Linked DNA regions of Arabidopsis thaliana. The protein of the gene in region 1 interacts with the protein of each later gene in a pairwise test. Each region holds a gene or a part of one and is shown in the gene's direction. Other genes may lie near its edges. The genes, in order: PIP3, AT2G41705, UTR2 and ACBP6.

Region 1 (8,029 bases):
ATTAGACCAAAATCCATAAACGAATATAGCTGGTGTTTGCAACCAGCTAAAATATGAATATTAGGGAACACCAAACTTAAGGATGATCGATTACTTGTTTTATACATACTTTTAAAAAGTGCTAATCTAAGACAGCATTAATATTGAATCTTTTCAAAGTTATTGTATGTACTATTTTCTGAACTGAAAAGTTCAAAAATGAAATATGAAGGTACAATATAGCCTAAAAACAATGAATAGAAAGGAGTATGTTCTATGTTTTCTTTAGTGTAAATAATATTAAGATATTTTAAGAATAATTAAGCTAATCCCTTTATTATTAAAAGAGAAGTACAAATTGAAATTTTGTATAATTTGGTCTCAATTTTGATTTTAATTTTGGATTTTATTCTTTGCTATTCAAAATTATTAAGGGTAGTTTGGTCTTAACAATTTTCTAAGCTTTATATGATCCAATTCAATCTAAACCGTTTAATAAAATTAATTCTCTTTAATCTAAGCTATTCAACAAAAATAAGGAATCTATATCGTTTTTGAAATCAAAATATAATCACATTTCATCTCTAAAAACAGTATATTCAATCACGAAATCAATAATCAATAATATCCAAATCATTTATTACGATTCTTCACTAATCACTAGAAATTTATATTTATAAGTTTAAAATATCAAATTTCTTCAAATATTTAGTATAAGAACCAAATAAATTGATTGTCTGCGGTAAACCGCGGGTTAAAACCTAGTTAAGTACATAAACATGCTTAGTTTACCATATGTGTACTAAATGACAAGATAACTAATTAAAAAACAATCCACAAAAATAAACGCATTCACTACTAATTAAACAAATATACTGCTAATCAAAATCAAAAGCACATTCTCAAGGCATAATTGAACCATAAAATTGATGTAAAAAAAAAAAAAAAACCGTAAAGCATACGGTAATCAAATGTAGTGACCGTTGGAGGGGGAATCGGAAAAAGGAATTGCGAGAAACGAGGACCATTATTTAAAAGGATGGAAAAAGACAGATGTTTATGGATCGTTCTAGCCGTTACCAGATACGATACACGTGGGATGATCTGTATGGATTAACGAAGAGATCTGACCTGTCTTTTGCCAAACTGATGTGGAAATTGTGACCTGGATGTTTTAGAGATAAAGATTGGCTGCCCCTTGTGGTAGGTCAGTCCCTTTCTCTGAACTATATAATATACTCAATTTAATTTAACTAGACTAGTTGAAATTGTTGAAGTTCGCTAACCATAATGTACAAAAATCCTTCATGTTCCGGGAAAATAAATCATAATTAACGATAGGTATAGTAGCAGCAAAGATAAGATGGTGATCCATTCTCACATGCAATGATTCGGATGAAGTTTAGCCAAATATTATTATTATCCAACCTCTTCTGCACCACGAAGAGACTTTATTTACGTAATATATTTGATGGTCCAGTACTACTATCCAGACATTATTGTTTTCGTTTCCAAATCATAAAACTTGAAATCTTATTGATTACTACTAGGGTCGATATCTCACTATTTGGAAACCGCAGGCTCCCTATTTATTAGTTTCAAACTCAATTGAAATGAAAATGTGTATTGGTGGTTTTAATGTTTGCACTGCGTAATGTTGCCTGAACTGTATATTTAATAAATTTACCACAACTTAGCAGATATAATTTTGTTATACGAAATCGTATAGTCTTCTTCATGGACAAAGAGGAAGGCAATCATCATTTTCTATGATTGCTCATCGACCTGGCATTTCCATTACCAAAGGCAGCATAATATCAAATCAAATATTTCTTTGTCGTACTTTACTTGAATTAATGATATTATCGTGGGTCGACTTAGGAAGTAAAGTTACTTCCATTTCATATATCTAAATCACATTTGCGTAAAATTTAAGTATTACACAAAGTGATAAAGTAAATTAAGTAATAATTGGCTAGGGATATTAACAAAATAAATAATTTTGATTAGGGCTACGAGGATAAGGACAAACGTCGTATTAACGTATAAAAAATGTGAAAGGAAAAGAGTAAACTAAGCTTTAGATATTAACACTCATTACGGGATTCCTAAATTGCCAGCACTTCGGATTATCCGTCAGTCCACTATTTATGCTAGTTTTTCTTTTCCTTGTGAGCTTGCACTATGGATTTTTCTTTATGCAATTCTCAATCTAAATGACCATTAAACTTTAGAAAAAAATGACCATTAAGTTTTAATGTACATTTGTATCAACTTTCTAATATGCCACGTCCGTATTGCTATATACAAACATAACCATTCAAATTAATATGGCTCTCTCAAAGGAAAAAAATAAAAGGAATAGCAAATGAGTAGATAAATTTTTTGATCAAAAAGAATAAGATGCACTAGTATTAGTATATACTCCCATACATCATTTAACCAAATTTTAAAATTGATTATAATCCATAAATAGTCTTCAAATTTCAACGACAAACACATTAATGTGAGTATAAATTAGCATAGACTACTATATAGTTTATATGCGGGGTGAATGTTTGTCTATACAAGTTTCGTCAAAAAAACGGCACCAACCATAATTAATAGACTCTTATCTTTTGCTGGTATATGAACTCTTTTTAAAAATTGCCGCGAATATACCTTCTTCGTAGATTATTAATCTTTTTCATGTACAGTTGCCTTTAGCAGATTATCATATGTTACAAACATTTGACCTAATTTGAAAAAATGTTACCAAAAAAGATTTGGAAAAAAAGACAAAGATATTGAGATAACCGTTGAAGAGAGTTTGGGATGACAGGCTGACGAGAAAACCATACACCTCATTTCTATCATTAACCCTCACATGGCTTATCTGTACATCTGGACCCCACCACCTTCTACTTTTATCTCCCATTTTTTTTTTCAAATTATTACTACCCAAAAAAATATTCAACAAACCTACAAAAACACATGTCTTATTTTTATTTATTTAAACATTTGTGTATTTATCCCATTGTTCCATATTTATTAGTAGGAAAAATATTCACATTTTACAGAACTGCAAAAGATTTGGCCATGCAAATTATACCCCACTTTGATTGCTATTTTATACACTATATCATACAGTACAAGAACAAAAATTTGATTGGGCCAGTAATAATGCATATAACTATTGATGTTAGCAAGAGAAAAAAATGCATTAAAACACAAATTTGACTATTATTTTGCAGGAACATTCGTGATAATTTTGACTATTATTTTGTCAGTAATAATGCATATTAATCGTATGTGATTTTAACTAAAACTGGAAAGTTCCAAGGAACATTTAGTAGTTTATATTTTTAGTACTAAGTTAGTTTAGAGGGTTATTAACTATTTAATCGTACTAATAATGATTATAAGCAGAATTATGTAGACTATACAAATAGTACGTAATACCGAAAGTACCCTTGGTTTATCCCTGGCATTACAAGGGTTTCCTTTTTCCCCTTTAAAATGGCAGAAGAGATACACTGTCGTCGTCACACAGCACCACAAACTCCATAGCTAGCTAGAGAGTAAAAAGAACAAAGATGTCGAAAGAAGTGAGCGAAGAAGGCAAAACCCACCATGGAAAAGACTACGTGGATCCTCCACCAGCTCCTCTTCTCGACATGGGTGAGCTCAAATCCTGGTCTTTCTACAGAGCTCTCATCGCTGAGTTCATCGCTACACTCCTCTTCCTCTACGTCACCGTCGCTACTGTCATCGGCCACAAGAAGCAAACCGGTCCTTGTGACGGCGTTGGTTTACTTGGTATCGCTTGGGCTTTCGGTGGTATGATCTTCGTCCTCGTCTACTGCACCGCCGGTATCTCTGGTAAGTTTGAATCCCACCAAAAACCCTAACTTTTACTTGTTTGGTTCGTTGGTTTTATTGTTAATCTCGTTCTTGTTCTCGTCTTCTCGTAGGTGGTCACATTAACCCAGCTGTGACTTTCGGTCTGTTCTTGGCCCGTAAGGTCTCTTTGGTGCGAGCTCTTGGTTACATGATAGCTCAGTGTCTTGGAGCCATTTGTGGTGTGGGTTTCGTGAAAGCTTTCATGAAAACTCCTTACAACACTCTTGGTGGAGGAGCTAACACCGTAGCTGACGGTTACAGCAAAGGAACTGCTCTCGGAGCTGAGATTATTGGAACTTTCGTCCTTGTTTACACCGTTTTCTCTGCAACTGACCCTAAGAGAAGCGCTCGTGACTCTCACATCCCCGTAAGTCTCAAAAAGCTTGAATCTTTAATTGAGTTTTTTGACAAAGTTACTATGAATCTGATTGGGTCTTTGTAGATTATGATAAAGGTTGAATCTTTTTAGGATTTAATGATAAAGTTAGTATGAATATAAAATGGGTCTTTGTAGATTCTGATGAAGTTTGAATCTTTTTATGGTGTAATGACAAAGTATGTATGAATCTCTAAGGATCTTTACTTTGTAGATTCTGATAAAGTGTGGTGGGTTTTCTTGTGATTAGGTTTTGGCTCCACTTCCAATTGGATTTGCTGTGTTCATGGTGCATTTGGCTACTATCCCCATTACTGGAACTGGTATCAACCCAGCTAGAAGCTTTGGTGCTGCTGTTATCTACAACAACGAGAAGGCGTGGGATGACCAAGTAAGTGTTTAGTTATTATCTGGATTAGGTATTCACTAATCATTCATGACTTCATGTCCTAATGTTGGTTCTGTGTTGGTTTTGGTTTTGCAGTGGATCTTTTGGGTTGGTCCGTTCTTGGGAGCACTAGCTGCAGCAGCTTACCACCAATACATATTGAGAGCTTCAGCAATTAAGGCCTTGGGCTCGTTCCGAAGCAACGCAACCAATTAATGAAGGCTTTTTTTAAGATAATGTCAAGAAACAACTTTAAGATTTATATGCTTTAATTATTATTTGTTGTTCTTTTGTGTGTAATGAGAGAGATGGTGGATTGATGTTAATTATGAAATGGCTCAGTGACTTCTATTTCCTTCTTTAGTTTTTGATTGTCTTTGTTAATCGTTTGCCTTTGGTTTCTCTTAGTAGTTACAAATTCATGTTTTCTCTTCATGTCAGTTCGTAAATATCGAACAATCCAAGTTGGAATTTATTATTCACAACATCACAAGATCCTTCAATGTACATTATTACAGCTAGCGTCCAATTAAGATACAAATTTCGGCTGAACATGGTGTGTGGGTCTTTTGGTTATTATCCTCGTGTCGACTCTAAACCATCGGGTCATATGTAAACCATTCATTAATTGACACGTGTTGAGAAGGAAATATTGGATTCCATTTGCTATGTGGTTACATTTTCGTTAGTTGACAAGAAAACAACTATTTTCGCTCCATTTGCTTTAGTCTTTTTTTTCGATGTTACTTGTTAGAATTAGTATTGTTTTTAAAAGAAAAAGAACTCGTGCGAGTACCTTTTGTTGTTTTTGTGAAAGGATAAAAAGGAGTGGAGCCAATAGAGTTGTAACAACCAGACAAGAAACGAGACATTAAACCCATTTTTTCCACCGCACTCTAACTTTTCTTAGGCCGCGTGTCGCGTAGCTCATGTGTTTATCACATGGGTAACTTTTCTGCGTCTAGTTACCGTATTGTTATTGTTATTGTTATATAGTAGACTCCTTTTGGCTAAGAGTCTTTAGACCCACCCAAACGCATATGTGTTTGGATGTATTAGGAAATTATTTGTATAAAAGACTTTACCAACTTAATTGAATAATGCATTTGATTAAAGAGAGAAAAAAAAAAGAAAATGCTCATGGAAGCAATAAGCACTAAATTTGTCTATGGGATGTAAATTGCGACAGTGAGAGTTGGCTTTAAAATAGTATGAATACAAATACGAATTTGTCTACATGGAATAGTAGTAATAATTCACGTCTCGTCTTTTCAGAAAAGTGAATGCAGAGGAGACAGAGAGAGAGAGAAGGACCACAACGATGGCCTTCACGCTTTTACTGGTTAATACGCCTAGTGTCTCAGTTTTAATTTTAAATACTTAGCCGTTATGATCGATTCTTCGTTATCTCTTCTTAGCTTCAATATGGTCCACTCATTTTGAACTTTGTAAACCCTAGCAGCTTATGAAGTATGAACCATCATATAGTTGGGCCTTAAATTTTGTTTTATAATAGCTATTGCTTTATTGGTTCTGGATAATAGCAATTTTGCAAGTTGCAAAATACCTTATGTGACCGGCCGGTTCACCCCTCTGCTTATCCCTAAACCGATTTACTTTAACCGATCTGATGCTGTATAGCTAAAAACATAAACTTGAAACAGACAGCAGCTGAGTGTGAAACTTAGTTGTCTGTCCATTTTTTTGAAAGAAATGATGTCATAATATGTTGACAAAAAACATCTTCAACTTTGGATATAAATCACTAATTCAGACTTTTTAAAAGTTGCGAACTTTTTTAATCATTCCATGTTACGGATTATTTTTTATGTGTCTGGAAAAATTGGCTGTCAAGGTGATTTCACGTGATAACTAATTTGTTTTTTTGAGGTCATTTGCCATCTTGTGAAAGCCTTTGGAGCCTACTTAAAGATTTTATTTTATTTTTTCTAGTAAAGACGATTGAAGTAACTGCTGTCTATTAGTTAAGATCTGAATCTCCAATGAGGTTATTTATAATTACTTACTCACATTGTGCAACAAAACCAAGCACAATTTGTGGTCCACAAACCTTTATCTGGAGGTTTCTGGTTCAACTTCTCCGGTTTACACTTAAATCTTCGTTTCGTGAGCAAACCCAACGGGGAGCTTCCCGTTGGGCCATGTTTCAGTGGGCTCGGTGTAAAGCCGACATGAGTAACTGAAGCCCAGTAGCATTGTCGCAAATAACAGATTGATTTGTCCGTTGCAAACGGTTTAAAAGCAGAGTACGATACTTTGTTACTTTTAAAAATATCAAATCTAACAATTATGTAACAAAATCAACTAGTGAATAACATAAAAACATAAGATATATTTGGCTTTAAAATCCCCTAAAAATCATCGTTATGGAATAACATCTACTTTTCGACAAAAACAAAGTAACAAAAAAATCGAAGAGTAGAGCTCAAATTGAGTGTAATAAAGAATGAACTCAACAAAATTATTCATTCCTTTATTTTGCAAAAGTGTTGTTTTGACATTTTCTATACACATATTTAAAAGAACTATACTATACAATATTCAACAAGTTCTGCTATAACTAACACAATAAATATAGTTGTGAATTTAATTTTTAATAAACAATCTTTCGTTTTCCAAACTCGAAGGCAACTTGTAATCTTTCCCATTATAGAAAACGAAAGAAACCAAAAAAAAAAAAACATAACCAAAGAAAAATGCATCACACAAATCAAAACGTATTTATTAGCAACAACCAAATATCTTAATATTTTTTATAAGTTACCAATAAATACCAGCTTTCCCATAATACTTAAAAACCCTAACCTTAAAAACTCATTTATTAGAGCATTTTTGATTTTGTGCTATTACCTACTACCCTTGGCTTACTACTAACAACATCACACACAACTCAAACTCACAGAAGCTCATCTATAAACGATTTCCCTTTAAATTTCTCCATTTTGAATCCCATTTTCTCCATCCTCAACCGTTCTGCTTCGATCTCAACCATCTGAGCCCGCGTCTCCTCAATCCGCCGCTTCACTTCCACCACTTCCTTCTCCATCCTAACCAAATCCGTTTCTTGAGCCTCAAGCTCTTCTCTCTTAGCCTTCACTAAACCATCATGCCTCTCTTTCTCATTTTCTACATCTTCTTGAGACTGCGCAAACTCTTCAAGAACAGAACGTAGCCAAGCTACTTCAATGTTCACAGACTCCAAGTCTTTGAGAACCGCAAGCATCTCTTTGACCTTGACTTTGCTCAACTGCCCTACCGGGGTTGACCTAAGTTCCTGCATCAGTGAGCATAAACACTCGAGGTAACGTGATCGCATTGAATCCGATTCCAGCTTACAGTTTTGAGCAATGTCTCCGTGCTTTTCGATGACAGCACTTAGTATA
Region 2 (8,892 bases), on another chromosome or scaffold:
AACCTTGGCCTGTAGCCACTTACATAACTACCATACCCGCCATATATTGCTCCAACGAAGTCCAACATGTGCACGCTCATAATCAGCAAAGTTGATTGACCCAAGAGCAAATGCAGTAGGCGAAAGCAAAGAAGCCACTACCTTCAATACCCTACAAGTCAGACAATTAATTTTACATTAATGTATTCTAGACCAAATGGTTGTGCCAAAGATAAGCATAACTTTTGTCTATCCATAAAACAGCCGTCACGAAAAAAATAACAAAAGTGAAAAGCACAAACATACATGGAGACAGATTCATCGTTTACAGTGTAGTAAGGGAAAAAGGCTCCGAGAAAGGTAAGGGTCCCAACTGCCACAGCTGTCTTTGCTCGAGTAAAAAATGTTGATATCATAAATGAGAGCATGATTGCGCTGAGCCCAAATAAAAAGAAGTATGTGAAGACTAAGGTCTTATCACTATACTTAAAGAGACTTCCCATCGTACAAGCTGTAATAATCCCAGAGCACAATGCAAACTGCAGAACAAAGTCTAGTTAGAAAAGACAAAATATACCAAGAACTACAAGTTATTAGATATATCAAAAGAAGTAAAGCGTCTGCTTCTTCCAGCTGAAGTCAATATTGTTGACAACAGAAAATGCTACCATAGCCACGGGAAGAGAGGCAAACAAAAGTTCACAAGTCAAATTTCAAGCAGAAACTTGCCTGCAATGCATATGTGATAAACCACGACAAATGAAAGATCTCATCCTTCAAGCCCATCATGTATAGTCCTTCTCTTATTTTCTGTTCCTGCAAGGTCAGAAAAAAAAGCGTAAGTGATAGAAAAGCAACTATTGGTAAACGAAAGATACATATCAGCTGTGTTCCAAAGTAAGCAAAATACATAAACCCAAACCAACCTTCTCAAAGACAGAGTAGCTGATAAGCCGGGAGATTGGAAACAGAAATCCCAGAAGGTACCTGCTCAACAATTATATAATCATCCAAACCATAAACACTCAAATACCATGCATACATGTAAGGAAAGAAAATATAGAGCAGGTGATACATACAACAATCCCATTACGCTTTTGACAATAGATTGAAACTCATCATCAGTGTATTCACGGGTTGGAAATGGAACCATTCTTATCACTGAGGGGCTAAACAGTGTCCATGGCAGCTCAAAGCGTAGAGCTGAACTAAGATTTGAATGTGATAATGGCAAGTCGTTATTTTGCTGAGAAGCAAATATAATGAAAGAGTCTACCACCTGCTGGAGCTGCAAAAGGGTATAAGACCAATCAAAACTGGGCGAAACCAAGATGAAACCCCCTACTTCAAGAATTTCTATTCAAATCAGATGAACTGATTTAGTTTACTAAATGGTAACTACTACTTTAGTGTGTGATAATCTAACACCTGATTTGGAATTTCTTTGACTAATCCTATATTTCCCTATAATAGCATAGATTATATAGTCTACAGACAAGAATTATCTGACTACTGTACTGCCTAGTAGCTTTATGGGGAGAGCTACAAAGATGATAGAAAAATCATGGGCACAGATTAGACAAACTTTCAATGAAAATAAGTAATGGCCATACAGTCAAGAATCCGCTAAAGCTGTATTGCATTGTTGGTATGGTATTAATCCCCATTTCGAGATCATTGATATAAGGTCCATTTGTGTCCATGATCGACTTGACATTTGGGAATCCTGCGAATGCCCATGTGTGGTTCAAGCGGATGCTATAATCAAACAAATGAGGTCCTTGTTCATGGAATACCACTGCTCCTTTTATTTTTGGATTCGAACAATTCCTAAGCAAACATGATGAGGCTTAATCAGTTTTAACATTTAAAAAAAAAAAAAAAACGAAAAAGCATAGACAGCTAGTTATAACTTTGATGATAGTACTAGTGAAGATAAAATGCAGACACACTGGGCATGTGAAGCCAAAATATCTCCCTGTTTCCAACATAGAAAAGATACCAGTCTTGTTCAGGTAGTATAATCATCAAAGTTGTAGCAAATTTGTAACAACTAACCCAAGGAGATACTGCCATTATTCAAGAAATGCTAACCAATTCACAGAATAAACAGAGAGATGTACAAGAAAAAGTTTGAAGGCGACAAGAAACTAGGGATGAAATTGCCTTCTTATTAGCTGGAAAAAAGAACAAAACATACCTCACTTCGCTACAGACACCATAATGCGCAGATGTTATATAAGTTTCCAGCTCTATGTCATCTTTAAAAATTTTAGTAACTAGCTGCAAACAGAAGACACAGGGTCGATTAAACGTGTGACATATGAAGAGTAACTATCGATCTAGAATGCAGCATAAGATGAAGACGTGATGATGATTACCCGCAGTTCCGGAAACTTAAGAGACAAAATGTCGATCATGTTATTAGTTTCATCAGTGTCAGGTGCAAAAGCTAAAAAATCCCCCTCAGCAAGCAAAAGCTTCAAAACTTCTGGAAAACTAGGAGAGTTGCCTTTGCCCACTTCGACGACTGTATCTTTGTCTATGTTCCTTTCATGATCAACAGAACAAAATGCAGAAAACGAAATCAAAATCCAATTTTAGTACGAGAGAGAGAGAGGCTAGTGACGAGTGTAAAAAACTGATATCTTACGAGTGAGCCGGGTGAATTGTGGTGTCAACCCGTGTCCTGACGGCTATCAACAGCAACATTACAATAGTCGGAAGCAAAATCTGCCAATGAATAAGAGAAAGAAGCAAAATTTGATCAACAATTCGAAATTTTAAAAACAAAAATTGCATTCAGCATCAAGGAGAAGAAGACCCATTAAGACGAGCAGTGAATAAGCATGAAAACGACATAGTTTTGAGGAGCAAAGAAAAAGAGAGAAACCTCAGCTGAAGTAACGAAGGGATGACGAGTTTTGAGGAGCCAATTCTTGCGGAGCATGGCCTTGAATTGCCTCTTCGATGAACCCATTTTTCCTTGGAACCCAGAAAGAACCCTAGACGATAGATTCTAGTCTTGGCTTCAATAAGAAATCATACTTTTATGGTTCTTCTTTGGGAAAAGGCAAAGCAAAGTAGCAAACTAAGAAAGCAGAGAGAGGTGGCGAAGACTTGGGCTCACCTCACTGACATTTGTGCTTCCTTTTTTTTTTTTTTTTTTTTCCTGCCAATTTATTTGATTCATTAATCAATTTGATTATACAATCAAACAAAAGAATTTTGCAACTAGCTGCGGATAACACAAGTGGTCGACAAAAATAGAAGAATTCCGAAACTGTTTCATTTATTTACGGGACCTTTCTTCTTCTATCAAAAAACCCAAAAAATAAGGAGAAGATTAGATTAGTTGTCGTGATATTAAGAAGGTAATCTTATATTAAACCAAAAAAAAAGAAGAAGATAATCTTATAATTAATATATATAAGTACTTAAGTACAGTTGCTGATGTTGACCCAAATATAAATCTTTGCGTCAATGCCAAGTAGGGGTGGCTCTCTCACGGGCTCCACATTAAAAGCCTAGTGTAGTGTACGTGGAACATCCTGATTCGTTTTAGAGTTGCGTTACGCCAATTATATTACGACGAAAACGACGACGTTCCTAAGTTTGACGGCAAAGTATACGAATGTTTTTATTATTTTTCCGAAGGTTGCCAATAAAAGCCGCCATTAGAATTATTCCTTTCATTGCCACTCCCCAACTTGATTCTTATTTTTATTTTTATCAGTTGTGACACAACTTTAAAGAAATCCACCTTCATATTCAATCCTCAAAAATGCTGTTTTTTTTTAACACAGAAAAAAAACAATTTTTAGTAAAATTATATCAAATGTAGAATCAAAATGACACTATTTTCTTCAACTAAAAACAATGAAACTTTTTTTTTAATACCATTAACTTTTAATAATTTATCTGGATTTTTTCAAAATATATGATCAAATTTCAAGTAACATCTAAATATATGTTAAAGATGATTTTGTTTGGGCTGTCGTTTCCAAGGATATTTTTGTTATCCGCCAGAGACAAAAAAAATCTGTTATGAGAAGCGGGGCTACTGGGCCAGCTCTTTGTGGCCCATAATTTAGAAATATTTTAAAACTTATGTATTGTTTTTGTTTTTTTTAGGGTGCGATTTTCCCGACTAAACCAACTCTACTTGTCTGTACATGTGTGTTCGACTAAACAAAGTTACAATCGTCTTCTGCTTTGTTGTTCGTCCATCTTCTACAATCGAACCTACTTCCCTTAACATCCAATAAACCAGAGAATAAATTGATGGTTTTCGATTGTCTCCTGTTAGCTCGATTTCTCCGCCGGCGACTTTTGGGATCAAATTTGATTCTTCACGATTAAGATTGAATTCGCCATTAGGTAAAGCTGCTGAATTTTAAATGTCTAGCTCAAAATCCAAACCCAAAACAGGTCCCAATCTAAGAAAAGTATTCATTCGTCTTTGCCACCTGTACAACTTTTTAAGATTTTCGTTTTTTTCTCTATTGGTGAACAAGTGATTATTTTAGTCTACCTTTTTTTCGATTTCCACTAACTAAAACGCAAGTAAATTTTTATCTTTTGTTTTAAGGGATAGTGGAGGACAAAATCTTGAAAACTGTTTTTGGATCCCTTCACCAGGTCATTCTTATTCTGCTTCTGTAGAAAGTAATAAACTAAAGTCATAATCTATCATGAATATGTGAACTTTTTTGAATTTGTTGTCTTAGTATCAAAAAGCTATGGTTTTGAAGATTACAGCTAAACTTTTCAAACAGTGTCTTTAATAAGCATTAGGAATTTCTCGAATGTTTACTTGCCACATTGTTCGATTATCTCTTGTCTCTTTTTGCACATTCCTTCATGTCTTCTTTCTTGTGTGTGTGGCTGTGGCTTAAAATATGTGCAGGTGGAGCATCATTTAAGAATCTTATGCTTTGGCTACAACGCCTATGGATACGGGTCAAAGCAGCATAGAACCTTATCAAGCCAAGTCTTTTAGTCGGGAGAGCAGTGTAGCCTCTTCTTTAAGCTTATCACGTAGTTTGCCTCACCTAATTGACAATGACGTCGATAGTGAGAGTGTCTCAGAGGCAGGGGATATTGGGGACCGCTCACTTCGGAGAAGGCATAGTGCTGGTAGAAGCAGCCGTTTGTCTGCTGATGATTTTATAGAACAAGGGACTCATGATACTTCTCGTCAAGAACAAGATATATTACATGACCTTCGAGCTTTCAACACTGCTTCCGTAAATAAAACTTTGCCTGAGGACATAACAGCATCTCCTTTACCGACCAAGTCACTCTTGTCACCTGAAATAAACAACTCCGTAGAGACTACCTCTAACTTTGCATAGTCACATCATTGTTAGTATTGGTTTCTTTGTCCAATGTTTTGATCTATTGTAGCTCGTGGGTTGCACAGGGAAAGGAGGAAGAGCGAGTGTTACCAAAGTCCTTGGAGTACATATCATGCCTAATTCATTTGGCTGTTTTTGGGATTTTTGGGGTAAAATGCTTATTTTCCATTTTCTGTCTGTCTCTCTGTTGTGCTTTGTTTTTGTTTAAATCATTATAATCAACTCGTTGACTCCAAATATACAGGCCATTACGAGATATTTGCTGCAAAAATTGTTTGGGCCAACTGGTGCTCGAGTAACAAGTGATGGGAGCATCTTGTACCTTGATCTTCCCTCCAACATGGTGAAAGTCGCAATGCACTCATCTCAAACTTAATTACAAACCTATCTTTCTTAATAAAAATTCTCCAAATGCTTCCTTATAGGTAGGATCATTCTTGATGGGTTGGTTTGGCGTTGTATTCAAAGCAGATATAGCAAGAGTTTCTGAATTTGTGGCGATAGGATTATCGACTGGTTATTTGGGGAGTCTGACAACATTCAGCGGTTGGAACCAGAAAATGCTGGATCTTAGTGCTGATGGTCAATGGGTGTATGCTGTGCTTGGCTTTTTATTAGGTAAAAACAAAAAATTCCCTTCTCAATCTCCAATCACCTACTAAATTGGATGAAACATACTTGCTTACAGCATAAACGACTTTACAGGATTGTTTCTCACGTCATACTCCATAATTCTGGGAGTGGAAACGGCCAAAGGGTTTAAATGGCTTCTTCATAGAAGAGCTTCTTCTGAGGATAAATTCCATTGTCTTAAGGTTAACACCTTCCAGAGCCATATTGTGTCTCTGACCCTGATGCTTCTGTTGCTTGTGGCTTTACTCACTGCCAGTTCCATACTGCTTGTGAAAGAGTTTGACAAAGGAACAAGCGAGGCTCAGCTATGGTTTGGTTGCTTAGTTGCAGCCCCTGGTGTCTGGCTCAGATGGTTCTTAGCCCGACTCAATGGACGTGGGCTGGGAAAGGATAGTCAAAATTTGAGATGGGTCCCATTTGGCACCCTCATTGCAAATGTAGTTGCAGCTTGCGTTATGGCAGCATTGGCTACCTTGAAGAAATCGGTATAAACTTCCTCACCTCCTCTCTCTACCAAACAGATCAAATCACAAAAGATAACATTCATTGTATATATTTTGGGAAACAGGTGAACACGAGAACATGTAACACGGTTGCTTCGAGCATACAGTTTGGTCTGTTGGGATGTCTGAGCACAGTTTCGACCTTCATGGCTGAGTTCAATGCGATGAGAGAAAGTGATTACCCATGGAGAGCCTATGCGTATGCATCTTTTACCATTGTGGTTTCTTTTGCGATTGGAACTATTATATACTCAGTCCCTGTCTGGGTAATAGGATTCAGTTAGTTGTATCAAAGCTAGATAAGTCTTGTGCAGATGATGTGATAATACATAGTCGTAACATTTGGTAGAGATGAATAATTAGATCGGTCACAATCAAATTATATTATACCTTGTGCAGAAATATTAAGAGCAAACTTCTATACTATAATGATAACTTTTTTCTGTTTTACACAAAATATCATGATTCTATATTCCACACTGGAAAAAAAAAAACACAACCACTAACAAAACCTGTACATTCCTGCTTCAGACCATTGTCACACTTTTCCCAACTTTTTCTCCATAAAAGAGACAAAGAGATGTCAAGTCGACGAATTCATCTCAAAAAAGGAGAATCTGACATACATAAAGTCTAAAGGGAACGGCTCATTTCTCTTGTGGGAGGTAGCTGTACGTGGAACAGCTGGTCTCTGTCTTTGTCACCTGCAGAAGAAAGAGAGCCAAAGAAAATGACATAAGGAAGATGTGTTGTAGTAACCTCTGAAGTCTCTGGTTCTATAGATATATGACTACGAACCTCTGAAGTAAGAGAGGATCCTGAAGGAAGAAATGGTGTCCAGAGAATAGGGTCTGCAAGAGGATCCAATGTATTGTAGTTGGTGAGCAATGGAGCCGTTAAGAGAGAGGTAAGTGGGTACATGCTTTTCTGAAGAGACAAAGCAGCAGCACCGCCTAAAGCAACTCCATGACTCACAACTGGTTTCTCTATTGCCTTGCCGTTATTCTTCTCCATATTGATGATGTTACGGTTTGCATTCTCATCGTTTTCATTATTGCAGCTTTCTTGGATCTTCAACACTTTCTCCTCTAGGCTCTTGAAGGCAGGCGACTGAGACAAGATGCTTAAAGCAGAAGAGCTTGATGGTGATGATATTTCTTTTTCTTTTCTCTGAGTTCCACAAAGGACGCCAAGGTTTGGCGCCTTGTATGGTTCTGTTGCATGGGATGTGTGTTCCAGTGTTTTAAGCTCAGTACCAGCATCTTCGACGTTTGCATCCTCTGATGCTTTTGATGAAGATTCTGGTTGACGGTTCTTGTTGGCTCCCCACCACTTTATGTATCCTGTTAGATCAATCTTTCTTTCCAGACAAAAGCTACCTAGAAAGTCACCTTCTGTTCCACGATCATCACCTGCCCCTGTTAATAATGACAATGAGTTTTGAATAGTCTGATGCAAGCAAACATTTGTTTCAATTAGGTCAATATTGTTAGCAACTCACCGTAATGAATGTTACTGAAGTATTCAGGTCCAGGCATACGACTGGCTGATGCGTCCCATCGGCTGGTCGGGAAGTGCAGAATAGATGGAAAGACAGCAGAAATGCATATCAGGTATGAATGTTAATTGTGAGAAAGAAGGTTAAAAAGACAAAACTAAAGAGGGCTACAGCCAAAACAGTGAAGATAGTTTTGCCATATCCCTATTCTTAAGAGTAGCATATAGACTTTTCTATGAAATTAACTAGTAGCATATCCACCATATGTCAATTAATCAAAACCGTGATGATCCACAATGTGTCACTAAAGAATCTTCCTTATAGGCAATTACACAAAGATGATCACTCTTGATTCCATAGTTTTTCAGACAAAACAGAGAAATGAGAACTCAATTGCTGGTCCAGTTTTACCTTTGAAGTCCACGATATTTCGCTATTCCCCTAGAGAAACCGCTGCTTTTTCTGCCAAAGGGATATCTAAAGAGTATCAGCAATAAATGGTTCTTAAAAGAAAACTATAGTGCTTTTAAATACATACGCACCTACGTAAAGATGCAAGGTATTCTTCCCTTGAGAGATTTTGCATTTCTTCTAAATCCCTGGTATAATCAGTCACCTACGAGAATGAAATACGTAAATGCATGTAGCTAAAAACAGTGAAACTTGAGAAGGGTGGCTCCAAAACACTTCTAACCATCCTTACTCCACTTATGCATATATATTGACCATGAAAATTATTAAGGAAACCACACGGTTGAAGAGTAACTTAGAAAGCATACTACGGTAGCAATCTCACCGGAAAATTTATAAGTGTCCCAGGACCCCAATATTTTAAGGCAGCAAGGTCGTAAGCTCTAGCAGCAGCCTCTTCATCATCATATGCTCCTGTCAAGTAAGAGTTGGGTTCTTCAGTGAAAAA
Region 3 (8,340 bases), 4.6 Mb from region 1:
ATAGTTGCATTAACAATTAGGTTTATAAACATATGAACTAATCTTTTATAAATTGACATTTACAGAAACATATGAGAAGAAACAGATGAGAAAAAGAAGAAGATTAGAGAGTTTGGTACGGCTTGAGCCAGTGGATTTAGAGAAACGCATAGAGAAATATGAGGAAAGACAAGATTACAAATCTCACATTATAGAAATTGAAGAAGATCAATCCGAAATCCGAGCAAACCGTTTGTTTGCTCTAGTGAAGTCTAGAATAATCGAGGAACAAAACCAATTACTGGCATCTCATGTAGTAGACAATGTGTTGCTAGATTTTTTCAAAGAAAACAATAATAATGAGACAAGAGACGAGGATAAGTTGGTGGAGATAGTTGAAGAATGGGTGATGAGGAGACAAGACGATGAATATAATATGTTCATGAGTTGGAAAGTGAGCGAGAAAAGAGAGATTTATGTGAAGGAAATGAAATGGGGTTGTATCAATGGGGATGAGAAAGAGTATGTGGTCGAAGAGTTGGGGAATGGTTTCCTCACTTCCTTGGTTGACGAACTTATCCATGATATATCCTTGTGAAACTGTTTTCTTTGCCACATATGTATGTATTATACTATATGCATTACTAAATTTATGATATATAGTGCTATTATCTTTGTAAATGGTATGACATATATTGTCTGAATGTTTAATGAGTAATGAGAGATTGATGAAACAAACAAAAACTTCTAAACTTTGAACTTGATTACGGTAAAATCTCAGCGACAGAAGGTTGATAGAATCTCACATTAAAAGTAAACTAGTACAAATCTAATGACAACATCTACTGTATCATCTAAATTCATGAAAAATAAGTCTAAAAAGGATAATAATAAATTACCACGTTAATGTTGAGCGGTTTCAAGCATAATGAACGGCCGTTAAGTGAAATGGGCCCTAAACTATAGTTTTTTTTGGGCTTCAACTAATCTGAGCTGGATTAACTTTAACGTAGGAGTGGTAAAGTTAATACATATAGAACTAATCAGTTTAAAGTTAACCATGACTTGAGTCACTAGAGATCTCATGCATCCTCCTAATTTTATATTTAATGAAAATTGTAACAAATTTCTCTTACAATTTTTTTTAAAAGCAAAACCTAATTTCTGTGCATAAATATATCTAACCTCGAATCCCAAAAATTGAATTATTGTTTCAGTAAGAAAAGAAACCCATAATTTAGGAAATAAACCGAATTCCCCTATGTAATAGAATTACGTACCAAATCATTGTTGCTGAGAGAGAGACGCTTGAACGCATGGAGACAATTTCGATATTTGAAAACTTGTTTACTAATATATTGTTAGATTTTAATAATTTGCATTTGTTGCACTAACCAAAAATTGCGACATATTACCTATAGTTTGTTTTTTTTGGGGGCAAATTACCTATAGGCTATATCACTGCATTTTGTAATCACACGTAGTCACATAGGACATATATATTGTATAGTTCTGTTTATTGTATACAAGAAAGTCATACTCGTGCTATGTTCAGTTATATGCCTTAATATTAATAAGCCAAATTTAACGATATAAATATAATTTACTAAGTTTTAGGACTTGTATATAAGTTGTACAGTAGTACTACTTGTTTAAAATTATACGTATAAGTGTATAATTTTTTTTTCTTTTCTTTTAAAAATTTAGTTTTATAATATTTTAAAAATATTCCTAGCAAAGAAAGAATAATTCATATATGCTGACTATCACGTCTAGTTGTAGTAGTAGCTACACAAATACTTGAATTTGAATTAATAAGTATATAGATAAATTGTACAAGTATCACCTATTATAAGTTTGCCAACCCTGTTTTGCGCATGATAATACGGCAGTAACAGTGTCCATAATCAATAATAACACAAAATCTTATTAAAAATTCGTATTTTATTTAGAAGAAAAAAACTAATTCATCTATGAAAATTAGAAGGAGACGTAACCGCTAACTAGTGTAACTGGACCTGCCTTCGGTGTTTGGTAAGATTCCGGTACTCTGTACAAAATGGCTGAAGCTAAGGCCCACACTATTTGACCGTACGTCACTGGATTGTTTCTCTAACGACTTTGATTCTTTTACTCGCTTGAGTTTGAATGTAAATGTCTGATTTTTTTTTAACAAAAAAGAATAAAATATATATCTACATAAATCTATAGTTTTCTAGCAATAATATTGTTGTCAATTTGTGAAATGTGATGGGTTGCTTGCATATGCAAAAGTCTCTCGATCGAAGTCTTCCGTTTATTATGAACCACACAAATGGTTTTAAGCAAGAAAAATATCTACGAGTAAGATCAATTTTGTTATGTGTAGAGATTATCATTTGTAACTTTATGTATTAATACAATTGCACGTAAAGCTTGACCTTCTAATAGAAATAAATTTGATAGGAAAAAATCTCTAATACCAATTGCAATTTTTTTGTTGTTGTAATATTGCAGTAAGCTCTCTCATTTAAGCCTTTGAACAAAAAATAAAATAAATATCAGATTTATTGTTGAGTTTCGCGTTGGTATTTCAAGAAAAGAATATGGTCTTTGGCTTTTGACCAAAAAAAAAAAAAGAATATGGTCTTTGGCTCTTTGCGACGCCTATATGCATATATGATATTTGTATGACTATAGACTCATAGTTAATTTATTTTCTATTCCATTTTAACTTATCAGTGTCACTAATCAAAGCTATTATTAAACGGTCTATTTTAAAACAAACCATTTTGTCTATATGCTATTTCATATACGACGATTATAATCGCTTCTTTAGAACTAATAGCCAATAATAATGTATATTTCGACTGTTCACCATACACCGCCACCTAATTCTTCTAAAACATTTCAATTCATTGACTAAATATCGTCATTATTTTGCTTACACATTTTGTATATGTTCCTCCAAATTTGTTCACTAGAGTTTTCAACTAGAACAAAACAACTACTCTGTTGGTGAAAGAATGAATATGCATGTGTGAAGTTTATTGCTCAATATGGATATAGAAGATGAAAAGAAAAAGAGTAAATTGATTTCTTTACCAAAACGTGTCCAGATGTTATGTCAATATGTAATTCTGACATGACCAGAACTTCTGTAACGCATTTAACAATCACTTCCGAAAATAACAAAAACAAAATTCAGGAAAGATGATGAAATTGTAAAAGACAGACTGTAATGGCGTCTATTGAGACAATGACTCAATCTGTCTTAAACCGGAAAGTTGACTCGTAAGCCATATTGATTATCTTTATTAAATTTTCCTTTTTATTCTCTTATTCTCTCGAAGTAGTAACTTTCTTTTGCATCAAATAAAGAAAATATGAAAACGCACCCCTAAAGTTTATCTTATTTTTTTTATTAGTGCCTCTAGTTTTCTAATGTGTAGAGTCAGTGACACACTTTCTTTTTACTTTATATCAAGATTTGATGATATCATATGATTTTAGACTTCTAATTAAGGTTTTTGTAAAAATTGTCACACTACTTTTTTGAATTCTTTCACTTTTTTTAACAAATGTTATTTAGAAAACATAGTCAATATACAGATCCTAAATGTAGATAAAAATTTACAATTTTGACTAGCAAGATCTGATTTGATATGTTTCTTATATATCAATTTTTACCCTTATTTGTTCCATTTTACTTTGATACTTTTTTTTATAGACAAATTTAGATAATTTTATTTGATAAGTCATAGCATTTATTTTTCTTATTTTTATACCAAAATTTATTATAAATACATTTTTCAAACAACACATATACAACACAAACTGTCATTAAAACCCAAATTTTATATATATATATATACCAAGCTGGTAATAATATGATATGATCGTAATTAGCAAACATGAGATCATGCAATAAAAGACTTAAGACAAAAAAATGTGCCACGCTGGTAATGCAAATTTTGTCGTGGTGTGTAGATAAACAAAAGTTTCAGACTTAAATCAAACATACATAAACGTTAAGGGTCTTACTTGCAAATTTGAGTTTTACCGGTAAAAAAAAGAGTAACAGGAAACGTAAAAAGAAGAAGAAGAACGCTCAATGGAGAAAAAACGTGTCCCGAAGTGGCAAATCACGCGACGAGTCTCTTCTTCTTCTTCTTCTTCATGCGTTTTCTCCTTCCTTCTTAAAAGCTCTCTTCTTCCTCCTCCTCTTTTACCAATACATCTATTAACTCTCTCTTCCCTCTTCATCAAGTTTCTCGAGGAGAGTGAAGAATTTGGTTTTAATTATTCTTTGATTACCCTTTTTGTGGTGTGGTTTTCGTTATTTCGAGGAGTGATAATAATACCGTTATGAGTCATCACTTTACATGTGTTTGATCAATTACTCTTAATTCACTTTCTGGGTTTCTTCCTTTGAATCTCTCCTCAAAGAAAAGAAAAGAAAAATGAAGGAGGAACAAACAAGATCTCTGTTTGGAATCTCTTTGTCTGATAAACCAACTTGGCAACAGTTTCTCATTTGCACTTCTGGTTTCTTTTTTGGTTATCTCGTTAACGGTGTTTGCGAGGTTCGTTTCTCTCTTTTTTGCAATTTGATTCGAGAATTTTGATACATAATCAATCAACGTTAATGTTTTTGTTTGTTCTTTGTCATAATTCCACATACCCAGCTCCTGAATCTCGTAAATTTATAATTTTTTTGCATTTTCAATCTCTTGCATGCTAAGTGTTTGATGTTTTGTTTCTGAGAGAAAAAAAAACAGAGGAAGAAGAAAAAATTGCATGACGAACTAAACTCTCTCCAAACTTGTGAGAGATCACAAAAAATCTGTGATCTTTGTAAAGAAAACAGATTTTAGAGAATGTGATTGGATCTACAAGTACTCATATATGATCATTGACTTGATTTATTTTTCTTTGGTTTTGCAGGAATATGTTTATAATCGTCTTCAATTTAGGTAAAAGTCAACTTTTGATTACTCTTTTAAGTTTTAGATTTGAACAAAAGTTAACAATGGGATTTTGCTCTGTCTTTGTAGCTTTGGGTGGTATTTCACGTTTATACAAGGATTTGTCTACTTGTTTCTAATCTACCTTCAAGGCTTTACCACAAAGCATATAGTTAATCCGATGAGAACTTATGTCAAACTCTCTGCTGTTCTCATGGGTTCACATGGTTTAACCAAAGGATCTTTGGCTTATCTCAATTATCCAGCTCAAATCATGTTCAAATCCACCAAGGTAATAGATCCACATTTCCCAATTACAGTCTCAATGAGTTTAAATTGAGTTTAAAGAATGATCGGAATGACCATCTTTCGGATGTTTTAGGTGTTACCGGTGATGATAATGGGAGCGTTTATACCCGGTCTTAGAAGAAAATACCCAGTCCATGAATACATTTCAGCGTTCTTGCTTGTTCTTGGTTTGATCCTATTCACATTAGCCGATGCGCAAATGTCTCCAAATTTCAGTATGATTGGGATTATGATGATAACCGGTGCATTGATCATGGATGCTTTCTTGGGTAATCTGCAAGAAGCTATCTTCACAATGAATCCTGAGACAACTCAGGCAAGGAAACTAAAGAAAACACGGTTCTTTCGGTTTTCCTTTACCGGTCTGTTTTGTTTCGTTTCTGAGATTAACTCTTGTTATGTGTGTTGTGCAGATGGAGATGCTTTTCTGCTCAACAGTTGTTGGATTACCGTTCTTGTTCGTTCCCATGGTTTTAACCGGAGAGGTTTTTCGTGCGTGGACTGCGTGTGCACAAGTAAGTAAACAACCTCTGTTCTCTTTTTTCTGGTTTGACTTTTGGTCAACCTTTAACCAAACCAAGTTAACCTTATGAGATAGTCGTCCATTTTAAGTGAAAGTGACAAAGAGTGGAACCTTTTATTTGGCTTTGAAAGTACTTCTATAGATTTGACTCGGTTTATGATTCAAACCGGAGTTGGACTCAGTTTAGAGAAAAAGTCAAAATTTGTAGGATTCTTGGTACCACGAAATGAGAGAGATCATTGACCGACGACGTGCCTCTGAATCTGCCAAACTTTTTAAAAGCCAAATTGTCTCTTTTAAATTCATTGATTCCATAACTTAAGTACCAACGTGGAATATTTTATAGTCAAACGGTTTAATGATTCATTGGTTGACATATTTAAAACCAATTGTGCTTTGTTTATATTTGCAGCATCCGTATGTGTATGGAGTGCTTGTATTTGAAGCCATGGCCACATTTATCGGTCAAGTCTCCGTTCTCTCGCTTATTGCTCTCTTTGGAGCCGCCACAACTGCCTTGGTAAATATCTAATCTTATCTTTGAATACTCATTTGTATTTTAATTGACTCAATGGTCTAAAATCACATTTCGTTGTGTGTAGATAACAACGGCTAGGAAAGGGGTTACATTGTTGCTGTCGTATTTGATATTCACAAAGCCGTTAACGGAACAGCACGGATCAGGCTTGCTGTTGATAGCAATGGGGATTGTATTGAAGATGGTTCCAATGGATAGTAAAGCTCCGGCCAAGATTCCGGCGAGACCAGCGGTTAGGATCGCAGGAGGCGATGGTGATAGAGAAGAGGACGAAGAAAGGAAGTCATTGGTTTGAGAATGTGCCATGTATTTATATATATTTTATCTCACAAATTCAAAGGGTTTATAGAATAATGTTGGATGAAGGAGACACAAAATAGAGTTAAAGTTGTGTCAGAGACTTGTTATTAGATTCTAAAGTGAAATTGCAAAAGATTGAGCTGTTAAATTGTTAACTATGATATGAATTATTTTTGTCATCACTCTCAGAAGAAAGCATTATTCGTCTCAAAGCCTATTCATAAAGCGGGAAACGCTAATGACTACATTCTAAACGACAGGATCAGTGAAGAACCTGATTCTATCTAAGATCCTCCAGTTTCTTTCTCTGATCTATGAATAACAAACTTATCGACAATCTTTACGGTGTTGACAGGATCCTGCTGCAATGTTGTTGCACACCATTTGCTTGGAAACCTTCTGTGATGACTCATTTTCACAGTCGATCTCGGCTCTGCATCCCAGTCCTTGTCCAGCTTCCATTCCTTTGGCACCTGTACTCATTCATCACATACACTCCTCTGTTTAATTCTATAATCACAAACTTTTTCTTTTGTCATTTCGAGAGTTGTTTTTCTCACCTTGTCTACTCCGAGAGTGAAGACTTCAAGGTCTCCATCAGGTTTGATGTTGGAAACGGGTGAATGATTTGTTAATTGGCGATCCGAAGTGAAGAAAATGCTTCATCAAAGTGTATGTGAAGCCAGTTGATGGATATATATAAGTAACTTCCAAAAACCAAAGATACAACAGGGGTTGAGAAGAACCCAAAAGTAGAGGAACACAGAAGCATAATAGATGGCTTGCTCCGCTTCGAGAAAGTGACTCCCATTCCTTTCTCGACAGATGTTAGTCCGTGTAACCGCCATCACCTATGTCAAATACTTTACTTTCGGCTGAAAAATAGTTTTCTATTTCAGCTAAAACGAAGGCTAAGTTGACGATTTTACCTCGGGAATATCAAATGCTGACATAAGATACTTGATGCAGGCAGGATATAATCCGAACGTCCACTGCTCAATACGGTCTCGGAGGCCAGTAGGGTCCGGAAAATGTTCATTTTCTACTGATTTGTACCACTGATACAATGTATGATACCCTGTGTAGCAAAAAGTTTGAAAATCTCAAAATCCATTAAGGTTTGATCACAGATACAAAAAAATATCAATTAAAGTAGGATCACATATTTTTTGTCCACTTGTGTCAATGACATTGTAATGAGGAAAGCCACAACATTCTATGGAAAGGAAACTGACCGGAGTTTGCAAGGAGCTTATGCTGAATACAGATTTCTATGCCGAGTTCCAACAGCAACATAAGAATCAAAGCAGCCATCAGGTGTGCAGAAACATGAAGAATTCCAATTAACAGTCGTTTCCTCCGAGATATTTTTGAGGGAACAAACATAATTGCAGTTATTAGCAACATAAGAACCCCGGTGAAAGACACATATGACTGCTCTGTTACATACACAAAGGAGCTCCAAACTGTGCCAAAGAAACTCCCCAAGTGGCCAGAAAATGAATCGCCTCGTAAGATATGGCCTAGCTCACACTGAAACCAACAAGGAATGAAGATAAAAACTTTCTCGTGAGTGCAAGTGAGCATAAAAATTTCTTCGCACAGGAAAAACACTACTACAGATATGCAAGGCCTGTCTCAGTTTGACCATTTAATAGTGGATGCTGACAATGTGTACCATTTTAACAAAAAAGTCTTAATGACCAAGTCAGGCTGCATTGCTGAGAAAATAAATATAAAATGGA
Region 4 (7,414 bases), on another chromosome or scaffold:
TCTCGTCATCTTCGAGCTTCTTCACTTCTTTCATTAATTCGCAGCTATGGTGGAATCAATTCGGTCTGTCGATTTTCGTCTCAATCTGATGGCTTCTCTGGTTCGTCATTTCCCATTTTTATCTCTCCCGATCCATATTTTGCTTCTTCAATTTTGAGTTATGACCCAGAACTATGATTGAATCGAGAACAATTTTCTTCTGGGTTTGATCTGATTTATGCATTTGAGTTGTACAATCAATATTTTGGATTTGGCGTTTAAGTTTTCCACTATCGTCAAGTGATGTTGTCCTCCATGAAAATGTGTAATTTCGTTATTAGGTATTGTTCAGGATTCTAACCTTTGCCTAGAAGTACAGAACGAGGATTTGAATCAATTAGTCTCAAGGATCAGCTTCTTATGGCTCTTTAACAATTTGCTGTATTCAGAAATTAGGCAATTATTGCAATTGGTAACGAGATATCTACAAATCATGAATCTGGAAAACATTTCTTTGGAGCAGCTTAGGCTATATGCAAGGAGGGAATTATAATGTATCTGTATTGATTGATTATTTATTTCGTGGATTCTTCTTGAACAGGAGGGAGATTCAGAGAGCAAGTGCCAGTTTCTGGAGAGTCTGCAAATAATTCAGGCTTATCAAACACGGGAAGAATCGGTTCCTCTCCGGAGCCTAATCCTTCGACTTTGAGAACTTTTGGTGATATGAAAGCAGGCTTGTTAAACAGAGGAGTCAATGGTTTCTCGGCTCCTAATGCTCCTCCTACCTTCAAAAGTTCACTGAGATCAAGATTACCAAACTCTCTACCTGATCAGTTCGGTCAGACGAATCCAGGCTTACCAAACACGGGAGGAAGCGGATTCTCTGCTCCAAGTTTATCAAGCTACGAGAATTTCACTCAATCTTCTTCGCTTCTTAAGGAGAATTCCCGCAGTGGAGGGAAGTCAAGCGACCTGGATTTTGTTAGAGAAGTAATAGAAGATGAAGGAAGGAGAACCGCAGGGATATTCTCTCATTTCCAACGCCCAAACCTCGAAACGAATGCTGACATCATTCACATCAAGATGTTGAGGAACAACACTTTTGTCACGGTTACAGATTCCAAAGGAAACGTCAAATGCAAAGCTACATCTGGTAGTTTACCCGATCTGAAAGGTGGAAGGAAGATGACGAATTACACAGCTGATGCAACCGCTGAAAACATTGGGAGAAGAGCTAAGGCTATGGGGCTGAAATCTGTGGTGGTTAAGGTGAACGGATTTACGCATTTCGGAAAGAAGAAGAAAGCTATTATCGCGTTTAGAGACGGTTTCACCAACTCGAGGTCTGATCAGAATCCGATAGTCTACATCGAGGACACTACTAGGAAAGCTCATAATGGTTGCAGATTACCAAGGAAACGTCGGGTGTGAAAAGAAAACGTCCCATGTCGTCGTCTCTTGTTATTCTATGGTCACTATAGAAACCATTTGTTTTGGCAAGTTATATCTTTTCTTGGTTATGTTTTCTCCTTCAAATCCGAGGAAAATCGGGTTTAGATAATTGGACCAAAGCGATTTGATTAATAAACCGGAATTGTTTTCCTGTTTTGACCCAATAGAAAATTTGACATTTTAATCCCAGACCATATAAGCCTGTCAAATATAGAAGCAATAAAGTTATTCAAAAATAGTTATTTTGCTTTGGAAATAAATCGCTCTCTTGGTCTCAGGAAGTGAGTCGATAGATTGAGGAAAATCTGGTTTAGATAATTGGACCAAAGGGATTTGATTCATTAACCGGAATCTTAAGCCTTGTCAAATTCTGTTCACATATATAAGCAATAAAGTTTTTTTTAAAGTAGTGATTGATTTGGAAATAAATCGCTCTCTCGGTCTCAGAGATTGAGATTCCGATACGGCGGAGCAAAGCAATTTAATAAACCTAGGGTTCAGATTATGACGGCGGCGGAATCAATCGCCGCATCGATTAATCAAATTGATGAGAAGAAACAAAAATTGAAGAAAGCTTTCGATGATCTTCAAGCTCATCGATCTCTCCTTTCACCATCTTTTAACCTCTCATGGTCTGAGATTGACTCTCACTTTTCTTCTCTCCAGTCTTCATTGTTTAACCGCCTCCAATCAGCCGTGACTAGTTCCAATTCCGGTAATATCGAAACTCCCACGGCGGTTACGACGGAGACACCAGTCCTTTGGCCGGAATTGAGAAAGTTTTGTGAGAAGAATGATGGAAAAGGTTTGGGTAACTACATGATTGAGAATTCGAGGAAGCGTTTATCTATCAATGAAGAGCTTCCTAATGCGATTCGATGCTCAGAGAATCCAGCACCTTTGGTTCTAGATGCAATCGAAGGTTCTTACCATTGCTCATCACCATCGTCGTCTTCCTCGGCGAGAGCGATCGATGTGAAGAGGATCTTCGTTTTGTTATTAGAAGCTTTGATTGAGATCAATGCGAATCTCACGAATGATTTGAGAGAAAGAGCTAGGACTATTGCTTATGATTGGAAACCAAATATAGGTAACAAACCATCAGAAGCGTTAGGGTTTTTGCATTTGGTTGCAGCTTTTGAATTAGGGTCTTTATTTAGTACTGAGGAGATTTGTGATTACATTTTCTTGATCTCTAAGTATAAACAAGCAACAACGATCTGCAAGAAGATTGGTTTAGATAGAAATCGAATAGGAGTTCTCGTTCAGAAGTTTTTGGATACTGGGAGATTACTTGTTGCTATTAGATTCATTTACGAGAATGAGATGGTGGGTGAATTTGAACCAGTTTCGATTTTGAAAACTAGTTTGAAGAACTCTAGAGAAGCTGCTAAGAGAGTTTGTGCTGAAGGGAATTACTCTCTTAAGGTGCAGAACGAAGCTACTGATAAAGAACTAAGTGCTTTGAGAGCAGTTATCAAAGTCGTGAAAGAGAAAAACATCGAGTCCGAGTTCATGGAAGAGAAACTCGAAGAATGTGTTAAGGAGTTGGAGGATCAGAAAGCTCAGAGGAAGCGTGCCACTAAGTTCAATTCACCTGCTAATCCCCAACAACCACAAGAACAAAAGGTCGATAATAAGCGTCCTCGAGTTGCTAATGGTTCAAGTATGGAATATAATTTGACAATCCCACCTCTGAGGCCGCAACAACAACCACCACTTTTGCCTACTCCTAGTCAGATTTTACAAGTGAACCCATATGGTCTTTTAAGCTCAATACTTCCTGGTGTTGCTGTCCCATATGGCAACCCAAGGGCTCTATTTGGCTCGGTTCCAGCTCCAGCTTCTCGACCCGTCTTTTATGTGCAGCAAACTGGTTATGGGATGCCACCACCTCAGTACCGCCCACCGTACTATCCTCAGTAGCATCTCTCTATTGGTAAGATTTATTATAGGAATGCAAGCGATATTGAGAAGATTTCTGCTCGAACAGGTCTATGCTCTCTATGTGTTTTTGATGTTCAGTAATGAATATCAAGTAAATTTCGAGAGTTTTGACATAGATAACACTTGATATAGTCGCTGTTTGGGGGATAACATAAGAGCAAATTGATCCGTTTTTTCTTTTTTTGTTTACCTGGTGAAGCGACTATAGAGGATTTTGCCTTGATTGTACAGTTTTATAACCTAACCTTAACCTCTTTTTAATTTAGTTTAGTTTACTTGTGGAGGAATGGTCTTTATGGTTTTGATCTAACATTTATATTCCTTGATTTGTTAGGTAATCTTCCAAGATTTCCTCCCTTTTTTCTTATAATCACCAAAGATCCCTTTTGGTTTGATTTGTTGTAGTGGGAAGAAATCTACGTGTCTGGATATCTAAAATGATCCAAAGGATAATATTCAACTAGCACAGAAACAGAAATAGTTTTTTTTTCATTAAACTATTTAAGTTTACAAAAGGATATGCTTATGGTTTTTCTGATGGAACAGAAAATTAATATTGTCATTTCAATGGAGAAGGAACATGTTCGATGAGCAAAAAAAAGAAAAAACAGAACATGTTCTTTGTTTTACAGTTGTACCCATACTGATCAGAATAAGCCAATCAACGGGGTGTCTGAATCCACGTATACAGTATCTATCTCTAAAAATATTTATTTCCTTTAAAGAAAATATTTAATAGTTATGGCTTATGGGCCTGAGAGGTTTATCATGACGCCCATATATATCTCACGCGTTGTCCTCGTCTTCTCCGTCTTACACTGATTTAATTCTCCTACCAATCTCAACTTCCGACGTCTATTCATCATGGGTTTGAAGGTACGTTCAGATCCAAAATGAACCAAACCGATCTCGGTTTCGGTTTATTACTACTCGGATCTTAGTTTTGTTTGTGTTCACCATTCCTGAATTCTATATTTTCTGTGTTGGTAGCCTTGTTTGATCCAGATTTGCAGATATATAGGTTCCTTATAGTTACGAAATTGAAGCTTGTATAGTCAAGAATGATCACTTTATGGAATTGAATTATTACTGATCACGCTTTTTCTCTGTATGATTTTGTCCATTTACTGTTCTTATAACTGATTTGTTAAACACTGTTTGCTGATGGGTAATATAGTTTTGAATCTGAGCTAGGTTTGGTTTTATTGAGTTTTGTTTGATTATTGTATCCCGATTGAGAATTTTAAGTAGTAATATGTTTGATGGTGTATTAGGCTATTAAGAATCTTTTCTTCGAATTTGTTGTTTCACTGATTTATATATCTGCAGGAGGAATTTGAGGAGCACGCTGAGAAAGTGAATACGCTCACGGAGTTGCCATCCAACGAGGATTTGCTCATTCTCTACGGACTCTACAAGCAAGCCAAGTTTGGGCCTGTGGACACCAGTTAATATTTTTGTCTGAATATTAACATCCTCTATTTTTGCTTCTTAGTTCACTTTTCTGTAATGTTGTTAATAATGTGTATTTGTTTATTGATTGATTCAAAGGTCGTCCTGGAATGTTCAGCATGAAGGAGAGAGCCAAGTGGGATGCTTGGAAGGCTGTTGAAGGTACAAAAACAATTCAAGTGATCAACTTTTTTAGCTTAGTGATTTGTTTGTAATTTGGATTCTTGTCTCAAGTTCAACAATTTTTTGTGCTTGGGGAATTGAATTTGAACTTTTCTTTGTTTATGATGTCAGGGAAATCATCGGAAGAAGCCATGAATGACTATATCACTAAGGTCAAGCAACTCTTGGAAGTTGCTGCTTCCAAGGCTTCAACCTGATGAATCAAATCCTCATCTGCAGTAACTTTATCTTAAGCATCAAAATAACATTGCATAAGACTTGTTCTTGCTCTTGTGTTTCTATCATATTTAAGCTATCTACTTTGTGACATGGTGTGATCTCTTAAAAATGCTTGATATTGGTTAAAACAGAGAATCATGATGCAAACTAAATCCATAAGTTATTTTTGGTCCGTCCTCGATATGGTCTTAGTTAAAACAGTTGAATTCAAGATGATATATTCGTTCTGGTCCGTAGGTCTTTTTCTTCATGGTCCATCGCATTCACCACTCACTAGAAAACTTTCGTTTTATTTCAATTTGGAGTACATAAGACAAAAGCTGGAAAAAAAAAGAACGTGGCAGATTTTTTATTTATTTTTTTCGTCTCGAACATTGGCAGAATTGTTCAAATTGTATGTGGTTTATTTAAAGTCAAATTCGTAAATAAATAGACGTTTAGTTTTAAAGTGTCTACAAATTTGAGGTTTATAATTTGGTAGATGACAAAAACAATAGTTTTTTTATTGAGTTGATCATAATTACTTTTATTTTTTATTGATTGTAGATTAACTTCCTTCCCTTAATGATAATCTCTTAACCGTGATTCAAGAAATTAAATAATATTGTAGAATATTAAAATAATTAATTGTATGTTGAACATACTAATATTTAGTATTATGATAATCTCTTTATCAAAATTATACATCTAGAATTTTTATATTAAATGCATTGTGTTTTTCAATTGAAAATTAAACGATATAAATATATAGTATATGCACTTTAACATAACAAATTCTTTTATATATTTTAATATAAGTGAAATAATTAATCTATATATACATTTTTGTAGGAGGTTTTTGAAGATAATGTTGAAGATGTGAACCATAATTCAACAATTAATTCAAATGGGTGGGTTTTACCCGATTTAACTCTATTCGGATCCTGGATAACATGTTTAATTCTGTTCTGATCTTGGATAACATTAATTTTTGGAAAAGTTACCTAAAAAATAATAATTAAAAACGAAATTAATGATTTAATTACATAATATAAACAATATCTCTAAACTAACCATATTTCTTATTTACCTTAACTAATTTCCTAAAATATTTCTACCTAATTTAAACATAAATATATAATTCTTCTTTCATTTTTATTTGATCTTATACTTTATTTATTTTGAATTTATATAAAATATATATAGTTAATAAAATATTATATTTTTTCTGAATATGATGTAATTCAAATTTTTTAAAACGGAAATATATTATTCAACCTATGAAGAAATAATATGTGTACAATGTCCCACATCGCTTAGAAAAATTGGACAATAGTTCAGACCCATATTATAAAAGGACCAAAATGATTCTGATTACGAATGAGCAGGAAGCTTGATTTATCAGGCGTCTAAAATTAAAATAGTTATCCGATTTTACTCGGATTTTTTATTTTAAAGAATTGAAACTTTAAAATGTTTCAAGAAATTATAAATATTATAACTTTATCAAAAGTTAAATATTATAATTTTAAAAACTTTTTATAAAGTTTATCTTTAAAAAATGCTTTAAATATTTATAATTTTAAAACTTATAAAGTTTTAAAAATTATAAATTGAATTTTACAAGAAATTTAAACATTATAAATATATAAAAATATATTAATACGAGACGATATATTACAGGAAAAATCTTCAATATAACAATCAAAATTCAATGATGATTTTTGGGTCGATATTGTATTTTTGTAAGTTTCAAATTTTATAATATTGAAATTTATAAGAAAATGACAAAATTATGTTTAATTTCACGGGACTGGGTTATATGGTAGGACGGGTTTGGGTGGATAATAATTACGATTTTAGAATGTCCCACATCGCTTAAAAAAATTGGACAATGGTCAAGCCATACTATAAAAAGGACCAAAATGATTTCGATTACGAATGATCATGAAACTTGATTTATGAGGTATCCAAGATTAAATGGTTTGTTTACTAGGGTTATTTATTTTAAAAAATTGAAACTTTAAAAAGTTTAAGAAATTATAAATTAAATTTTACAAGAAATTTAAACAATATAAAAGATATTAATACGGGACGATATACTGCGAGAGAAATCTTAGATATAACACTCAAAATTCAATGATGAAGTTTGGATCAATATTAATCTTTTTTGAAGTTTCTAATTTTATAAATATTTGAA

What was found.
Region 2: the proteins of PIP3 (region 1) and AT2G41705 interact in a protein complementation assay, tested with the Arabidopsis thaliana proteins (one large-scale study listed by BioGRID).
Region 3: the proteins of PIP3 (region 1) and UTR2 interact in a protein complementation assay, tested with the Arabidopsis thaliana proteins (one large-scale study listed by BioGRID).
Region 4: the proteins of PIP3 (region 1) and ACBP6 interact in a protein complementation assay, tested with the Arabidopsis thaliana proteins (one large-scale study listed by BioGRID).

The regions. Positions count from the first base shown.
Region 1 is NC_003075.7:16,705,118-16,713,146, forward strand, and holds PIP3 (plasma membrane intrinsic protein 3), read left to right. Parts: upstream 1-3,243; 5' UTR 3,244-3,554; coding exon 3,555-3,840; intron 3,841-3,932; coding exon 3,933-4,228; intron 4,229-4,487; coding exon 4,488-4,628; intron 4,629-4,721; coding exon 4,722-4,841; 3' UTR 4,842-5,290; downstream 5,291-8,029. Other genes in the region: AT4G35110 (phospholipase-like protein (PEARLI 4) family protein), read right to left, coding at 7,543-8,029. UniProt on the Arabidopsis thaliana protein: Water channel required to facilitate the transport of water across cell membrane. May be involved in the osmoregulation in plants under high osmotic stress such as under a high salt condition.
Region 2 is NC_003071.7:17,393,152-17,402,043, forward strand, and holds AT2G41705 (camphor resistance CrcB family protein), read left to right. Parts: upstream 1-4,118; 5' UTR 4,119-4,359; exon of another isoform or gene 4,360-4,888; 5' UTR 4,889-4,931; coding exon 4,932-5,309; intron 5,310-5,404; coding exon 5,405-5,488; intron 5,489-5,583; coding exon 5,584-5,682; intron 5,683-5,764; coding exon 5,765-5,957; intron 5,958-6,044; coding exon 6,045-6,457; intron 6,458-6,540; coding exon 6,541-6,759; 3' UTR 6,760-6,930; downstream 6,931-8,892. Other genes in the region: ABCA1 (ATP-binding cassette A1), read right to left, coding at 37-151, 286-518, 709-795, 906-966, 1,059-1,267, 1,593-1,809, 2,180-2,262, 2,361-2,529 and 2 more; AT2G41710 (Integrase-type DNA-binding superfamily protein), read right to left, coding at 7,109-7,893, 7,977-8,038, 8,385-8,435, 8,516-8,589, 8,770-8,858.
Region 3 is NC_003075.7:12,058,568-12,066,907, reverse strand, and holds UTR2 (UDP-galactose transporter 2), read left to right. Parts: upstream 1-4,049; 5' UTR 4,050-4,421; coding exon 4,422-4,544; intron 4,545-4,905; coding exon 4,906-4,934; intron 4,935-5,015; coding exon 5,016-5,217; intron 5,218-5,307; coding exon 5,308-5,550; coding exon of another isoform or gene 5,551-5,573; intron 5,574-5,619; coding exon of another isoform or gene 5,620-5,647; coding exon 5,648-5,749; intron 5,750-5,832; coding exon 5,833-5,973; intron 5,974-6,169; coding exon 6,170-6,277; intron 6,278-6,325; coding exon of another isoform or gene 6,326-6,359; coding exon 6,360-6,590; coding exon of another isoform or gene 6,591-6,601; 3' UTR 6,602-6,724; downstream 6,725-8,340. Other genes in the region: TRM11 (uncharacterized protein), read left to right, coding at 66-577; AT4G23015 (uncharacterized protein), read right to left, coding at 6,326-6,601; AT4G23000 (Calcineurin-like metallo-phosphoesterase superfamily protein), read right to left, coding at 7,261-7,446, 7,525-7,673, 7,831-8,128.
Region 4 is NC_003070.9:11,408,931-11,416,344, reverse strand, and holds ACBP6 (acyl-CoA-binding protein 6), read left to right. Parts: upstream 1-4,111; 5' UTR 4,112-4,245; coding exon 4,246-4,257; intron 4,258-4,710; coding exon 4,711-4,828; intron 4,829-4,932; coding exon 4,933-4,995; intron 4,996-5,127; coding exon 5,128-5,213; 3' UTR 5,214-5,579; downstream 5,580-7,414. Other genes in the region: NFD3 (Ribosomal L18p/L5e family protein), read left to right, coding at 1-100, 581-1,413; FRL2 (FRIGIDA like 2), read left to right, coding at 1,939-3,360. UniProt on the Arabidopsis thaliana protein: Binds medium- and long-chain acyl-CoA esters with very high affinity. May function as an intracellular carrier of acyl-CoA esters. Confers resistance to cold and freezing.